Ovis aries: one gene and its partners. The protein of the gene in region 1 interacts with the protein of each later gene in a pairwise test. Links are inferred from orthologs where the notes say so. Each region holds a gene or a part of one and is shown in the gene's direction. Other genes may lie near its edges.

Region 1 (3,500 bases):
CACCTAGATGTTACACTTGGCTCTTCTTCCAGTAACTCCTCTAGTAACTTGTTATATCAATGAATGCTGAGCTACTGCTAACTTTATCATTCTGAAATTCAGGTCTGTTACCTTTTTTTTGCTCATAATCTTTTTAAGTTTAAAGCTTCTTACAGTTTGACCCCAAATTCTTGGCTTAAATATAGTGTGTCTCAGTCTTTTGTTAAGATTGTTGCTATAAGACTGTAATACCTTACAGTACTTGTCATAGGTAAATGCATAACTTCATGAAGACAGCCTTTATGTCTCTGTTGCTGCCATAACTCCCATGCTTAGTACAGTACCTGGCTTTCAATTTATTCACCAAATATTTATTGAAAACTTGCTTACATCAGTCAGGGTCCAGGTGGAACAACAGAAATCACACAAGAATTTTAACAGAGATAACAAGAAATCAGAGAGGTTGAAGAATTGAAAAAAGCAAAAGCGGAACCCAGAAAGCTGCTTCTCCTAGAACTGGGGCATACGGGATGGGGGTTACAGTTCGCAGAGCCAACAGTGTTGGTGGAGGAGCCCCGTGAGCTGGGCCTCAGGGGAGGGCCCCCTGTGATGGATGCTGGTACCTCTGGGGGCTGCAGGGAGGCTGTGCTGCCAGTGTCTGGAATCTGGAGACTGGAGTCACCTGCTGCCAGCAGCATGAAGGGCTGGCCCCAGGCAGTACTGGCAGGAGCAGGAAGCAGACAGGAAGGGGCAGGCCCTGGCACGTCCTCCTCGCGAGGGGTCCTGACCAGAAAGCCATGGCAGAAGAGGGCTCACCACAGAGGGTGGGCTTGGAAGGCACGGACAGTCTGTGACGCTTGCTGGCCTCTCTTCTCTTCAGTGTGCCCACAGGCTTCTTTCTTCATATTTCTTCACATTTGTTGACGCGCAACAAATATTTTCTGGTAAGGGAACCATAGTAAGTACGTTCAGCTTTACTAGCCAGTATATACAGAGACCTTGAGAGGCTTCCGGGCAGAAATGAGCTTGAGAGGCCTGAGAGACAGGACCTCGGTGAGGGCAGATGAGACAGAATGTGGCTGCAGATGCACTGGGGGGTGACATTGGAAGGGCTGTCAGGCCAGGTAGTCTGTGGCCTTGTGGACAGGGTAAGGGGTTGGGGGTCTGAGTTGTGGGATTAACAAAAGGGTTTCAGTGCTTGCTGTGTGGAGGGCAAATAGAAGGGCAAGAGTAGATGGTGGTCATAGTAGCCTTAGCAGGAGGGAGCAGTGGTCATGTGTTGGTCATATGGATCATGGTAAGAACACCGAGTAAGCACTTAACTGTACTTGCTGGAAAGAAATTCTTTTCCAAAAGTTATACTCCAAAGCTCCTCCCTTTTGTCCTATGTTTCAGCTAAACTAAATTCATTTGCTTAATTTTTTCTATCCCATTGCCTGATTTTTATGCTTTTATAGCTGTAATCATTGAATTTTTGTAATTCTTCAAAAGTTGTATTTTCTGGTATTGTGCTTGATTAGTGGTATGGCTCTTTGTGTGTGTGTGATGTCCTGGTGACTGTGATTCTGAACGGAGACATTGGCAGCCTGTGTGTGTGCGGCTGAGGTTTCTCTCCCCCATCATGGCTGTTCTGAGCATCACGGTGTCAGACCAGAGCTTTTCATGACAGGTTCCGGTTAAGACGCTTTGGTAACAAATATGCTCTTCCCTCATTTTCTTTGGTAGAGGAAAGGGTCCACTTAAAACACTAAACTCATTTTGGTCAAGAAAAAAAAATTAGGAATGTGAGGCCTGGTACCTAACGGAGTCCCTAGTACAGCTATTCTCCATACAGTTGGTTAATCCACAGATGTTTACCAAAGGGATGAAAAATAACATTTGTCTTGTGTGTGTCAGCACTTGACTAGTAGGTGCTTTTAGTCCTTGTAGTGGAGCTGTGAGGTAAGAAGTTTGCCTCTGTAATAAAAACTCTGAAAGGGTAAGTACATTGTTGAAGGCCATATAAAAGAACCCTCAGGAAGATGCTGTGTGAGTTTAAAAGTAAAGTACAGCCTTTATAAAGTTCAAGGATAATATATTTGAGTTGAAAACAAGCCAGGGTACACATAAAACAAATGCCAGTGAATTCATCGGGCAACAGAGTCATTGAGTCTGCTGGAGATGGTGTCTGGGGGGGTAAATTACCTGCAGAATTAGTTTTAAAAAACAAAATAGGGTCATTTTTGCAAAACTCATATCTGAAGGAAATAATCGGCAGATTACATTTTAGGAAACCACAACAGAATATGTTCAATTTTGGATTTTCTCAGGGCGCGTGTTTGCGAATACTGACGTGTTGCATGTGTCTTTGGCAGCAGTTGGTGGCACGGCCTTCCAGCATGGACCACATGGTGGCCCCTGTCACTGGTGGCGACACTGGGATCCGCAGAGCAGAGATCAAGCAAGGGATCCGAGAAGTCATCTTGTGTAAGGATCAAGACGGGAAGATTGGGCTCCGGCTGAAATCCATAGACAATGTAAGTGCTTTCAGTACACTTGTCTGATTAGCTGTTATGTGACCCAGTTACAATTTAAAATGTAAATGCTTTAATGAAGTGTAATGGTGCTCTCTGATCAAGACTACTTTTAATCTGCTTTTCCACGTGAGATGCTACCCTGTTCTGAAGAGGCAGAGCTGGGACTTGAGCATTACCATGGATGAATTTTTTCTGAGTCCTTTTTCTGGAATAAAGTTCACTAGTCTGCGTGTATTATAACATAGTTCATACAAGGAGAATGCTGGCATTGAAATAGGGTAACGTGTGGAAGTTAAGACTGATAGGTGAGGGTCAGTGGTCTTGTGTATTTTTAAACTTAAAGACGATCATGTGACTTGTAATGTGGTTTGGGGTTTGTTATTTCCATCCTTGAATTTGACTTTCATGGGGCATTTTCCAGGCAACAGTGACTTTCTAAAGTACATTACTTCACCTCTCACCTTACCAGATGGAAGAAATGAAACCTGGTTACTCTGTGGGGAAGCACTTAGGATCACTAAGGAGGTGCTGAGTCTTTACCCTGATTTGTGGGTTTCCAGGTTATTTATTGGGCTTCTTTTCAGTCTTCGGTCTCATAGCTCAGCGCATCCAGCCTTTGCATGTAGAAGATGTGGCGCCTGGCGGAAGATGTTTGAGGCCAGTCCGGGCCCTACCTGCCTCCCCAGAGGCTGAGGGCATTGTGTCTTTGCACACTTGTGGCTTGTGTGAGACCCTCATTGAGTGTGCTGCTCTGGGAAGCTCGCACTTCCCTGCCCTCTCTACATCCTAGAGAGAGACCACACTCTCCGCAGCTCCACCCCTGCAGCAGTTATCCTTGCAGTGGTTTGTCCAGTGGCCGAAGCTTGTAGGTGTAGCCACTCTGCTGGGTGCCGTCCTCAAGTACAGGATACGCAGCACCAAATCTGAGTACAGGCTACGCAGCACCAAATCTGGGGCAGCTCAGGACGGAGAAGGGGTGCGACCTGTGGTTGCTTTCATCTCTTA
Region 2 (4,274 bases), on another chromosome or scaffold:
CTGCTGCCTGGCTTCCGGCCCCTTCGGGAAGGTACAGTACATCTGCCCACAGGTCTCCCCACTCCTTCACCACTCCCCAGCCATCCCCAAGTCCAGGGGCCTTGGCCTTCCCCACCTGGACACTGGTCCCTGGCACCCTACCTGCGGGGACCCTTGTCCCCATCCATGTGGTTGTCTTCTCCATCCCCCTGCATGTCAGGCACAGATGCCACCAGGTCCTTCAAGAAGTCAAACTGCTGCTCCAGCTCAATGCACTGTTTCCTGGAAGAAGTGGGAAGGGGTTGGCACTCGGATGAGGCCCAGACATCTGGGCCCTCAACAAGGGACAGTACGGACTCTGTGGATGTCAGGGGAATGGAACCTGGAAAATTTCCACCCCAACCCTCCCCCTTGGCCAGAACATCCTAATCCTCCTCCTCAAATCCACAGATCTCACAGCAGCCTACCAATTCCTTATCAGGGCACAGCCTCCCCCAGGCGTGTGAACTGGAGGAAGACCCCCAACTGGGCCCTCTAGGATCGGAGCCACTCACAGGTGGGATGTAGTCATGGTCTTGGCGTTTCGGGACTGGGTAACTTGGCATGCTTTCTTCAACAGAGACTCCAAGAAAAGCTCGAGCGCCCGAGCTGAGGAGGGTCAAGGAGAACGCAGGGTGGTGGCCCAGTCCACAAAAAGCGACCCCGGGGCTGCCGGGCTCCCCCACTCCCCCATCCCGACAGCTCCCGACAGGATACAGATGATGACAGGCACGGCCGCCGCCACCTTCCCAATCTCTTCATCCGTCTGCATGATCTTCTTGATTCGTGCCTGGGGAGGGGGCAGACAGCTCGGACCCCGTAGCCTCCGTCCCAGAAAGGGTGCTTAAGCCGGGCAGAGAGAGGGAGCATCCCGGGAGAAAGGGGGCGGGGGGCACCCACGCTGGAAGGGCACGGAAGGGGGCGGGGCGTACGGGGCCCCGAACACGGCGATGCGCCCGCCTCCCTAGTCCGGCCTGGGCCGGAGCTTCCCGAGAGCCCGGCCCGTTCCTCTGGGGCCCGCTCACGTGCTCACCGGCGGGAACCGCGCGTTGTACTTCTTCTTCTTGCTCGGCATCTCGGGGCCTCTCCCGCCGCGCCGGACCCAGCGCCGCCGCCCGCAGCCTCCCGGCACCCGGGCCTGCTCTTAGCCCGTCCGCCGCGGTTCCCCCGGGTCCTGGTGCCGCCGGCTCCGCCCCCAACGCTTCCTACAGGGTCCTAGCGCCGCCGGTCAGGACGCCGCCGGCAGGGCCCGAGCGCCCTCCCCCTTAGAGCCTCCCGGGCTTTGCGCGTCCGTCCGGGGCGGAACCGCCACTCCCGCCCGCCCCCAAGACCTGAAGAGCGAACGTTAGCTCCGCCCCCCAAGGCCCGCCCCTCCTCGCCTTCCCTGATGGCCCCGCCCCCATGGCCCCGCCCCTTCCCGGCCCCGCCCTGTGCTGCGTTTGTCTATAAAGTTCTTGTTGAGGCGCCGGGGTACTAAGATGGCGGCGGCGGCGGCAGCCGTGGCGGGGGCGGGGCGCGGCGGTGGCAGCGGCGCAGATCCCCGGCAGGAACGGAGCCGGGCCCGGGGCTGGCCCGGCGCCGAGCGCAGCGAAGGCCGGAGGTGACGCTGGGGTTGGCGGGAGGGGGCAGGACGGGGGCGCAGCTCGGGCCGTGGGCACTAATGGCGGCGGGCGCGGCGGGGCGGGAGGCAGGCTCTCCTGCAGCCTCTATCCAGCCGGGGTTCGAGTCCAGGCACCGCCCCGTTGGTCTCGGATCGGACACTGCCCGTTTCTCGCCTCAGTGCCCTCGTCTTTAAGTAGGTTGGATAACGCTCGCCCGGAGGCCTGGCCCCATGGGCCCTGCCTCGGTGCGGCGAGGACGTGTGCTTTGCCTCCCTCCATTAAATCCCAGCGCCCGGGAGAGCGGCCAGGCTCTGGCAGGGCCAGGAGGCGTAGCTGGGCCGGCGGTTCCCGCATTTGAATTGCCGTTTCGGCCCTATCACTCACTGAAGGTGTGACCTGCAGTGAGCCCCTTCTCTCTGAGCTTCGGTTTCCTCGTTTGTAGGTCAAGGAGAGCAGTAATAACACTAACTACATTTATATAGCTTTTGTTCCACCTCAGGCGGTTAATTCTGCACAACTGCTTGAGGCAGTAACAAGTTGTTATCCATTGTGGAGACGCGGCAGCCGAGGCCCAGGCCCACACCGTTCAGTTCAGTGCCTGGCACCCCCTGCTGCTGCTGCTGCTGCTGCTGCTGCTGCTGCTAAGTCGCTCCAGTCGTGTCCGACTCTGTGCGACCCCATAGACGTCAGCCCAACAGGCTCCCCCGTCCCTGGGATTCTCCAGGCAAGAACACTGGAGTGGGTTGCCATTTCCTTCTCCAGTGCATGAAAGTGAAAAGTGAAAGTGAAGTCGCTCAGTCGTGTCCGACTCTTAGTGACCCGTGGACTGTAGCCTACCAGGCTCCTCCATCCATGGGATTCTCCAGGCAAGAGTACTGGAGTGGGGTGCCATCGCCTTCTCCCTGGCACCCCCTAGGACTCAGCAAGTTGAGTCTGTCCCGGCCCTGCCCTGATTCGGTTCCCTCCCGCAGGATGGAACCAGGTGAGGAGCTGGAGGAAGAGGACTCTCCAGGTGGTCGTGAAGATGGCTTCACTGCTGAGCACCTGGCTGCAGAGGCCATGGCAGCCGACATGGACCCCTGGCTGGTGTTTGATGCCCGCATGACACCTGCCACAGAGCTGGATGCCTGGTTGGCCAAGTACCCGCCGTCCCAAGTTACCCGCTATGGGGACCCTGGCTCGCCCAACTCTGAGCCCGTGGGCTGGATTGCAGTGTATGGGCAGGGCTACATCCCCAACTCGGGTGATGTGCAGGGCCTACAGGCCGCCTGGGAAGCTCTGCAGACCAGCGGGCGGCCCATAACGCCTGGTACCCTGCGCCAGCTGGCCATCACCCACCAAGTGCTCTCTGGCAAATGGCTGATACACCTGGCACCTGGCTTCAAGCTGGACCACGCCTGGGCTGGCATTGCTCGGGCTGTGGTTGAGGGCCGGCTGCAGGTGGCCAAGGTGAGCCCACGGGCCAAGGAGGGGGGGCGGCAGGTCATCTGCGTTTATACGGACGACTTCACGGACCGCTTGGGTGTTCTGGAGGCAGATGCAGCCATCCGTGCGGCAGGCGTGAAGTGTCTGCTTACCTACAAGCCTGACGTCTACACCTACCTGGGCATCTACCGGGCCAACCGCTGGCACCTCTGCCCCACTCTCTATGAGAGCCGTTTCCAGCTGGGGGGCAGTGCCCGTGGCTCCCGTGTGCTGGACCGTGCCAACAATGTGGAACTGACCTAATAGGGCCAAATGAGGGAGATGGCCATTGCCCCCACTACTGGGGCTGGAGCCTCCGCCTGTCTTCCCTCTCCTTGTCCCATGGAGGTCGAGCCCCTCCAGCTCTGAGGACTGGGTCACTCGGGAACTGCCTGCATCTTCGATCCCTTTGAACTTCTGTCCTGTGTTTGGGCTGACTCCAGTCCCTGCTGGCTGGAGGCAATGGCTCCGTGAGGGCTGGACCCTCAGCCTCTCTTCGCTGCTGCCTCCCCTCGGTCATCCAGAACCACAGGCGGGGTGCAGACGCCAGCAGGAGAACCTTCCTTGGCCACCCTCATCCCTGGCTGCACCTCCCCCTCCTCCTGCTTCCTCCTTTTCTCTTCCTCTTTCACAAGAGAGAAAACTAGTGCTTCCAATCCCTCTCCTCGGGGCCTTCACAGTGCAGGGGGCAGAGGTCCTGCGGGCCTGAGCATGCCATTTTGTTGGCGGAGAGTGGGTAATTGCTCCCACTCTGCCCCCAGCACAGAAGGGGGATGCCAGGGCCAAGGACACAGGGCCTGTCCCTGCCACCTCACAGCCGACACCACCTTCTTCCTTTCTTTGGCTCCCTTGTCACACGCGTACTTCTGGCATTTCAATAAACCCAGCCTGGGTCTGTGTCTTGAGTGTTTTTTACAATACTGTGTTGGTGGTTACCTGCATTGGTTGGCGGAGAGAGGCAGGGCCAGGAGAGACTGCCCCCTGTGTCCTGATTGCCTTCAACCGCCAAGCTGGGAATGTCTCTGAGAGCCTCTTCAAAGTCAGTCCTGTCTCACCTCCATCCCAGGAATCACAATCAGTTGTTCAGTGATTTCCCATAAATTCAAGGACTTGGCCCAGTAAAGTCTGAGGGACTGCTGCTAGCCCACAGGGTGTGTTCGTGCCCGTTAAGAGAAAGGTACCTCCTTGGTT
Region 3 (4,289 bases), on another chromosome or scaffold:
ATGCCAGGATCTTAGTTTTCTGAATGTTGAGCTTTAAGCCAACTTTTTCACTCCCCTCTTTCACTTTCATCAAGAGGCTCTTTAGTTCCTCACTTTCTGCCAAAGGGTGGTGTCATCTGCATATATGAGGTTATTGATATTTCTCCCAGCAATCTTGAGTCCAGCTTGTGCTTCATCCAGCCCAGCATTTCTCATGTACTCTGGAGCTGCTGCTAGGTCGCTCCAGTTGTGTCCGACTCTGTGCGACCCCACAGATGGCAGCCCACCAGGCTCTTCTGTCCCTGGGATTCTCCAGGCAAGAATACTGGAGTGGGTTGTCATTTCCTTCTCTGGGATGATGTACTCTGCATATAAGTTAAATAAGCAGGGTTGACAATATACAGCCTTGCTGTACTCCTTTTCCTATTTGGAACCAGTTTGTTCCATGTCCAGTTCTAACTGTTGCTTCCTGACCTGCATACAGATTTCTCAAGAGGCAGGTCAGGTGGTCTGGTATTCCCATCTCTTTCAGAATGTTCCACAGTTTATTGTGATCCACACAGTCAAACAAAGACTTTGGCATAGTCAATAAAGCAGAAATAGACGTTTCTCTGAACTCTTTTGCTTATTGTGAAGGAGAAATGGCAAAATCCCTGTACCTGATCCCACCTGGAAAGGGATGGGGATTTGGTTAGCCAGAAGTGAGTTCTGTTTGGAAGGAATCTATGTTTGGAAACCAATTAGCTCAGACTTTAGGTAATTCCCACTCTTGCAGCCTTGGCTTCCTTCGTGGTGAAATGAGGACAGTATTGGTGCCAGCTTCCTCTAGGGCTGGCTCCTTCAGTCCTCAGAGCCTTTGCACTGGTCGTTTTCTCTGCTGCCCTTCTCTCCATCTGGCTGTCTTTCCCTACTCCGCCCACAGACTGGAGAGGTGACCGTATCAATCCCACAGAGGGTAAGGCCAGGAGTCCTGGGACCACAGTTCCAGAGTCCAGATCTTGTATAGTCACCGTATCTGCAGCAGAGGCCCCCTCCGCTTATTCTCCATCGAATTCATGTACCTCCCAACATTTTATAATCATAACTTTTTTTTGTAGTCATTTTTTTGTCGGCTGTTTACTTGGGTCTTTAATGTTTCTCCTTTCATTAGGAAGCCCCTCCTTCTTGGTGACCGCTTTACTCGTCAGGCCTGGCACTTGGTTGGGATCCCTTAAGTATTCGTAAAATGACCGGAGAAACTAGGTTTGAGCCCTAGCGAAAAGTGCCGGGGGCTGGGCAGATCCCCCAGTGCGGGCGGAGGCGGGATGTCGGGCGAATTCTGGGCGGAGCGCGTGGGTCTGGGGCCCGAGCCTCGGGGGCGGGATCGGGCGTCGGGGCGGGGCTTCAGGGCTGCCGCGGAGCCAGCCTGAAGGAGCCGCCCAGGCTACGCCTGGTTTGAGTTTCTCCGGCCGCTCGGCCCTTCGGTCACTAGCCCGCGACGCCGTTAGGGGGCGCCCGCGCCTGTGGCGCCGTGTCTCCGCTGGAAAGGCGCCGCCCGCTCCGGGCGGCAGGAGCCGCAACTCCGGGCGCGGGCTCAGTCGTCCCTTCTGCCGCCGCCGCCGCCGCCGCCACCGGGCGCGGGCTCGCTCGTCCTCGCGCTCGCGCTCTCCGGCCGCCGGCGTCTCCCGGCCCGGCAGCCACCGCCGCCGCAGCGCAGTGAGTAGGGGCGGGCCCACGACGCGGAGGCCCGGGGCTCGGGAGGGCTGGGCTCTAGCAGAAGACCGCGCGGAGCGGCCCGGCAGCGGGGTTGAGGGGAACCCGGGCGGTGGCGGGGCCGCGCTCAGGGGACCTCGGGGAGTCCAGGCGGCGCGCTCCGGGGCTGGCACGAACCCGCCGCGGGCTGCCCGCGACCAGAGGCCGGCCTTGGGCGGAGGATCCGGGGCCTGCCCCGCTGGGACTTGCGGGTTCGGCGGACCCGGGTTTAGGGCTCGGGTGCGCGCCCCATGCCCGGGCCCCAAGTGTCTCCCGTCCCACGCCCGGGGCCCGGGTCGGGGTGGGGGACTCTGCCCGTGGGCAGCAGTGAAGCCGGGACGGGAGCACCTCAAGGTTTGCTGGAAGATGATTGATTGTGGGTGGTGCTTATTGGCTACAGTTTTCCTTATTTTAAAGCCCCCGGCAGGACTTCTGAACCCTGCCTTAGGGGATTTTTCTGCCCCAAAGAGGGATTGACCGCAGCTGAGTTCTTAATGCCCAGATTTGTGTGTGCCCAGGGCATTCTTAATGCTGGACGTCAGAGGTGATAAATGGCCGTGGTGGTGAGGAGCCCCTGAAGCACCTGCCGGGCTGGGCTGTCAGTGGTGGAGGCTGTCTGAGGGGTGGGACTCCAGAAACGAAGCAGAGATCCTTTTTGGATATTGTGCTGAAGTTATCATGTTTCTGCAACTATACCAGTTCTGGAACAAGTTGGCTACTTCCAATTTTAGGGCTTTGTGATAGAAGAGGTTTGAGTGCCCCGAGACCTGAGGTAACTTGGTTTGGCCAAGAGCGTTTGGGGTAGCCTAAGCGTGTCTTACCGTTTCCCCTTGGTATGTGCATTTTCTTTGCTCTCACAAACGCCTGAGTATATGAACGATTCCAAGAGAGGAAAGAAGCGAGGGGACAGCGTTTAGCACAGGACTGAGCCCAGGACTGAGATGTTTTCGAACAAACAGATGTGTAGCTAGGAAAAGGAAAATCTCTTTTTTAACCTGCATGGTTGGTAGGTTGAGACAACTTGCTCTTTGATCAGACCATACTAGTACTTCATTTTGCATAACATCATAAATATTAAGAATTGAGTGGTGAGGACCACCATAGATGCTGTTTCTAAGGTTCATGTCATTTAAATTTTAATTTGTCACAGTTTAAAGCATTACTACATGAAGAAATTTTAGAGTGAATCTGTGAATCACTGAACGTGTCTTGGATTGTGATATTTGGAGTCTATTGAAAATGGAATCCAAATACTCATTTGGATTTGGCTTTACCTTGGACATAATCCCGAGTCATGCTTTAGAGTTCCTTCCTTCTGTGATGAAGAGGTCAGACGTCTGGTGGTCTCTGTGAAAGCCAGATGCTCCACCTTACCTGTGGTTCTCCCTTGTGGGGCTCCAGGAAAAGGAGGACGGGATGAGGGAGACTGGAAGCACATTAAGTGCCCTCCTCTTCCATACTTGCCCGGTCTCCATGCCCACGCTCTGAATTACTTGTGTCCACACTCCGGTTTCTCAGTTCGCCACAGAAATTGTAAGGATGCTACTGCCAGTAGTGTTTCACATTTGCCAGTTTACCCATAAATTTTCGATTCATGATCTCACTTATTTTTTCTCCAAGAAGCAGGTGGGCAATACAGAGTGATTTACTCTGGGTCTTATAATTAGTCATGAAGCCAAGCTGGCTTAAGGATCCTCACCTGTGGCCTTTTCTCTCTCCTGCTCTGACCTGTCTATGACCTCAAACCCCAGGCCCCCATCTGTCACCCTGTAGGCCAGGTGTTGCCTCTGTGTTGTGCTTAAGTGGTACTGTTCCTTTTGGGAATGTGGTATTATTCTGTTTTATCTTACAGAAATTAAGGTAAGAGGGATGGTATGGTTTTGTGACTATTTGTGGTAGCTCTTCAGTAGGAAAAGTCACTTTTCAACCTAGAGCGCCTTTTTTGTAGACCACATGGAGAGGGCAGAGAGAAAAAAGGATTAGGTTTTGGATGAAACGGTCTGTTTGTGTATTGGTTATGGTCAAGCGTAACCTAACACCATAATCACATTCTCCTTCTGTGCCTGGCTACTTAAACCAGCCTGTATGTGAATGTTAACCCCAAAGACTCCTTTAGTTGATGAACTAGTTACTATAAAAAGTATTTCACTTTGAAAAGCTCCCACATTTCAAGAACAGAGAAATTCAGCACAAAGGTGATTTTGAAGGTATGTATAGATGGAATTTGTTGAGTTGTCTCTTCTGAATGCCAGCTACAAAGATTTCAGTAGAAAGGCGTTTTAAAAGGGCTACCTGGAAACTTAGGGAAGGAAATAGTTATGTGTTTATTATTTATTCAAGTTTGGAGGTGTGTATTGCAGTGTATAAGTTATTATATAGGATAGGAGCAGGAGTTTTATTCCAGAGAATTCTTAGTCTGTAGCAGAAATGATAAGCCCAGAATATGTGTGTTTCATTAGTTCATCATAACCACAAAGCCTGTAATTGAGTTCTGCTGTGGTGAGGAAAATGAGTTTCAGGGGTTCTTACGTTATTCTTTAAGTCATTCACTTATTGAATTGTGTGTTTTTCACATTTGC
Region 4 (4,274 bases), on another chromosome or scaffold:
GATCCCCACACTTGCACCTGCCACAGGGCCTTTGCACAGGCTAAGCTCTAGCCCAGGGAACTTCCCCATCCTCTCTGTAACTCCTCCTCCTCCTTACACTCTTGGAGCATAAGGACCATTTCCTCTAGGAAGCCTCTTCTGACATATGCCCCTCCGTGGCCCTCAGGTAGAACCCACTCTGGTGGGTCAGGGTGCCACCCTTCATTGCAGTTCAGTTCTCACTCTTCCTTACTTGTGGGATCATTCCAGTGTTTGGAGAAGGAAATGGCAACCCACTCCAGTATTCTTGCCTGGAGAATCCCATGAACGGAGGAGCTTGGTGGGCTACAGTCCACGGGTCGCAAAGAGTCGGACACGACTGAGAGACTTCACTTTCACTTTCACTTCCAGTATCTGGCTCCACCCACTTGGCTGTAAGCTCCAGGAGGCCAAGGCAAGCCCTCCTGTTTTCCCGATGTTCTTGGAACCCAGTGCGGCCACCAGGCCTAGCACCCAGCAGGGGCTCCTTTAATTCTCTGGTTCGGTGGGTGGGAGTCTGGAAGGATGGACGCAGGGAGTATAAGGGGAAGAGGGTGTTCCAGGGGTGGGGAACACTAGTTCTGGGCGTTGTTTAACTCGCGGGGGAGGTCTGAGGGGCGTGCACCCGGTGGAAGGGACGAGTGGGTACTTGCGGAGTGGAGAAGGCCCCAGTGCGTGGGCGCGCGTTCCTTGGGCTGCAGCCGGCAGAGGGCGCTACCGGCTCGCCGGACACAGCGCTCCGGCCCCGGCGGCGGCGCCACGGAGTGGAGGAGGGGGGATTCTTCTGGAGGGCGGGCAGGGGGAGACTTTCGGAATGGGGGCAGCCCCCAGGGATGCACCCCCGAAGCCAGACCCCCAAAACCCCGCGCCTGCCAGGCAGCCCCCTCCGTGGCCGGGCCGGGGTCTAGCTCCCCAGCCCCGCGGCCCACTGCCGGCAGCCCCCTGCCGCCGCGCCCGGCCGCCGGGGGCGGGGGCGGTGGCCCACGGGGCACGTGGCTCCGGGTCCGGGCGGGGCGGCGCCCACCCCCTCCCGTCCCCCAGCGCCGGCCCGTCCCCGCGTGGCCGCGGCCGCGGGGGCAGAGGGAGGGAGGGCGGGGCGCGGGCGGCGGCGGCGGGCGGCGCCGGGGAGGGGGTCGCGCGGGGGCGGGCCGCGGGCCGGGCGGGGGTCGGCGGGCTTCCGGGCGGCGGCGGCGGCGGGCGCGGCGCGATGTGCGAGCGGGCGGCGCGCCTGTGCAGGGCCGGCGCGCACAGGCTGCTCCGGGAGCCGCCGCCGCAGGGCCGGGCGCTGGGCGGGCTGCTGCGCTGGGTGGGCGCCAGGATGGGCGAGCCCCGGGCGCCGCTGGCCCCCGACGCCCCCAACACCCCCGTCGCGGACCCCGGCCCCTACCCGGGCCCCGCCTCGCCGCGCGGGGGCACCGCCGTCATCCTGGACGTGAGTACGCGCGGGCCGGGACCCGTTCTCCCCACCGGGCGACGCGGACGCCACGCTCCCGGGACCCCGCTGGGACCTGCAAGACCCCCTTCTGCTTGAGGGGCAGGGGTCCCCGGGCAGGGACGCTGGCCCGCACCCCGGGGGTCCAGAGCGGGATCCACCGGCTCCTCCTTGTGCAGAGCGCGGCCCCCAGCTCTTCGGCCCCCGGGCCGGTCTCCGTGCGGGTCCCGTCTCGTCCCCGGACCGGGACGACCCCTTTACCTCCCTCCCCTTCTCGGGATCTCCACATTCTCGGAGCCGGGACCCTGGAGCCCCTCGACCCGGCCACCGCCCCCTACTTCTGTCCTGGCCAAACCCTCATCTTTCTCCAGCCCGCGCTTCATCCTTCACCCAGCTCCTTCCCGGGACGCGAGTCCCAGACCGCCGTCGGCCCCTGCTCCTGCCCGCCCCACCGACCCCTGCCCCCCGTCCTTACTTTTCTAAGACTCTCCCCCCAACCCACCCCATCACACACACAATCCCTGGGTCCAGGGCCATTTTTCTTGTCCGAGCTTTGGACCTTAAGCCCTTGTATCCTCAACCCTTTTGCCTCAGGCACCACCTTTTTAAAAGCAAAGCCCCCTCCCCACCTGCCTTCCTCTCTCCTTTCAGTAGGACTGGAGCCATCCCCCATCCTCTCTGAGGACCACCACTCCATTCTGAGCCAGTCCTTGATCCCCTTCCCCCGCTCCCCCCTCCCTCTCCCTCTCCTCACCCCTCCCTCTCCCTTTCCTCACCCCTCCCCCTGCTCACCCCCTCCCCTTTTCACCCTCTCTCCTCCTCACCCCCACTCCGCACCCCTCCCCCACGTCCTCTGGAGCCCAAACCGCCCCACCTCACCCTCCCACCCACTCTCCTCTGTAGGAGGGAGCCTTCTGCAGGGTGGGGGGGCGTCCCCCGTGGGGTGCTCTGCCCACCCCAAGGGGCAGCATGGCAGTGGGGTGTGCCTGTCCTAGGGAGGGTCCTCCGAGGTGGGTGACACGGGGCTGGGGGTGCCATGTTTATGTATGGTGGGTGGGTTTCAGGGAGAGGTGTGTGTATCACATCCTGGTGAGAGGGGGACAGTGTGGGTTTCCTCTCGCCCCTCCACCCCCACCACGTTCCTGTTGGAGCCTCCATCGCTGGCTCTCAGCCGACAGGGCAGGGGGTGATCTGCCGCACGTGGCCATGGCTCCCAGGCTTCCCAGAACGTGCTCACACACAGCCCACTCGCACCTGCACAGGTGAGCCCTCTCAAAGCCCCAGTGAGTTCGCAGCTGAAAGCCCTTGCAGCGGACAGCTCTGTCCAGGCCCCCCCCCTTTTGCACAGGACAGGACGTGGACTCTGGAGTCCTCACGCCACGCTGCTGGCTCTGAGCCCCAGTCTCCTCATCTGTGAAATGGGGGTGATGAGCGAGTGCCAGGGCCACATCTCCTGTCAGGTCAGTCACTTTAACGCTCACCCCCGGCCCCGGCACCTGAAGGTGGGACTCCAGCCTCCTCGGGAACCTTGCAGTCAGGAGCAGGCAGTGTGCGGTGCACAAGCTGGGGTGCTGGCAGCTGCCCCCTTTTCTGCCCCAGCTGCTCCAGACCTGTGTCCCCTGCCCCAACTTGGGGTTCAGCTCAAGAAAGGGGGAATGTTTGAGAATATCTTTCCTGAGCTGCTGCTTCAGTTTGTCACAGCCCGGGTGCCTGACAATGGATGCCTGCCCTACTGCTTGGAGGGAGGGGCCCAGCTCCCGCTCTCCAAGGTGTGAGGGTCACACGCTGGGGGCGGCGTCTCCCCCTCTTCCTACCTTCAGCAAGGCTTGCGTGCACGCGTGCTAAGTCACTCAGAAGGGTCCGACTCTGCGACCCCATGGACTGTAGCCTGCCAGACTCCTTTGTCCATGGAATTCTCCAGGCCAGATACTGGAGTGGGTAGCCTTTCCCTTCTCCAGGGGATCTTCCTGACCCAAGGATCGAACCCAGGTCTCGCACATTGCAGGTGGATTCTTTACCATCTGAGCCACCAGGGCAGCCCCCAGCAAGGCTTACTAGGACTAAAAACACCAGGAGGAGCTATCTGGTTTCAGCTGCAGCTGGAGGGGACCAGGCTGCCCCTTCCCTCCCCGCCTCTCTTTCTGAGCTGCTTGCGGGCTGCTCCTACCCACTGACCACCCCCAAAAAACTAATCCCGCCGTGCACTGGCTGATCCTGTCGTCAGGCCTCGAGGTTTGCTTGGCAGATGCCTCTGTTCAGATTTAACCCACCCTCCCTGGAGAACACCAGGCCCTCGAGAGGTCCTAGTGGGGGTGTAAGGTGAGTGGCTGCCTCCCACGGACGGGAGTGGGGAGCACGCAGCCGCCTGTGGGTGCTGCACGTGGGCCAAAGGTTCTGGACACACACCCGTGCGGCGTGCTCTCGACCGCATGGCCAGCAGCGCCTGAGGAAGAGGGGAGGCTGTCTCCTCGAGGGGAGCTGGAGGGCCACTGCCTGAAACACCCTTCCACCCCCGGGTCTCCTCCCTCAGGAGGGAAAAGGGGCCCGGCTTCCGCAGGTCCACTGGGCTGGGGGTGTTGGAAGCCTGCCCCTCCCAGCCGACACTGACTCGACCTCTCTTCTCTGCAGATTTTCCGCCGTGCGGACAAAAACGGTGAGTCTTCCCACACCCCGCGAGGCTGTCCCCGTGTGAGGACCTGGCTCTTTCTGGTTGGGGGTGCAGGACGCTGCCCTGCGCCTGTTTCTCCATCCTACGAGGGACCCCTGTGGTTCCTACTGAGCAGGGGAGCCATGCGGCTTCAGCGGGCAGGTGTGGGCAGTGCGG

What was found. The genes of interacting proteins can lie anywhere in the genome.
Region 2: the proteins of SDCBP (region 1) and C21H11orf68 interact in binary tests that used the Homo sapiens proteins (3 or more experiments, as listed by UniProt). The two-hybrid records come from large-scale screens. The link is inferred for Ovis aries from reciprocal best matches to the Homo sapiens genes SDCBP and C11orf68.
Region 3: the proteins of SDCBP (region 1) and KCTD6 interact in binary tests that used the Homo sapiens proteins (3 or more experiments, as listed by UniProt). The two-hybrid records come from large-scale screens. The link is inferred for Ovis aries from reciprocal best matches to the Homo sapiens genes SDCBP and KCTD6.
Region 4: the proteins of SDCBP (region 1) and NECAB2 interact in binary tests that used the Homo sapiens proteins (3 or more experiments, as listed by UniProt). The two-hybrid records come from large-scale screens. The link is inferred for Ovis aries from reciprocal best matches to the Homo sapiens genes SDCBP and NECAB2.

What each region holds. Positions count from the first base shown.
Region 1 is NC_056062.1:37,743,215-37,746,714, forward strand, and holds part of SDCBP (syntenin-1), read left to right. Parts: intron 1-2,333; coding exon 2,334-2,495; intron 2,496-3,500. UniProt on the Homo sapiens protein: Multifunctional adapter protein involved in diverse array of functions including trafficking of transmembrane proteins, neuro and immunomodulation, exosome biogenesis, and tumorigenesis.
Region 2 is NC_056074.1:40,461,937-40,466,210, reverse strand, and holds C21H11orf68 (UPF0696 protein C11orf68 homolog), read left to right. Parts: upstream 1-1,474; 5' UTR 1,475-1,496; coding exon 1,497-1,618; intron 1,619-2,101; exon of another isoform or gene 2,102-2,343; intron 2,344-2,590; coding exon 2,591-3,347; 3' UTR 3,348-3,982; downstream 3,983-4,274. Other genes in the region: DRAP1 (dr1-associated corepressor), read right to left, coding at 1-21, 142-261, 534-627, 736-808, 1,052-1,093.
Region 3 is NC_056072.1:42,983,686-42,987,974, reverse strand, and holds the start of KCTD6 (BTB/POZ domain-containing protein KCTD6), read left to right. Parts: upstream 1-1,489; 5' UTR 1,490-1,674; exon of another isoform or gene 1,675-3,917; intron 3,918-4,289. UniProt on the Homo sapiens protein: Probable substrate-specific adapter of a BCR (BTB-CUL3-RBX1) E3 ubiquitin-protein ligase complex mediating the ubiquitination and subsequent proteasomal degradation of target proteins.
Region 4 is NC_056067.1:9,830,324-9,834,597, forward strand, and holds the start of NECAB2 (N-terminal EF-hand calcium-binding protein 2), read left to right. Parts: upstream 1-1,474; 5' UTR 1,475-2,419; coding exon 2,420-2,712; intron 2,713-2,792; exon of another isoform or gene 2,793-2,798; coding exon 2,799-2,910; exon of another isoform or gene 2,911-3,695; coding exon of another isoform or gene 3,696-3,769; intron 3,770-4,078; coding exon 4,079-4,103; intron 4,104-4,274. UniProt on the Homo sapiens protein: May act as a signaling scaffold protein that senses intracellular calcium.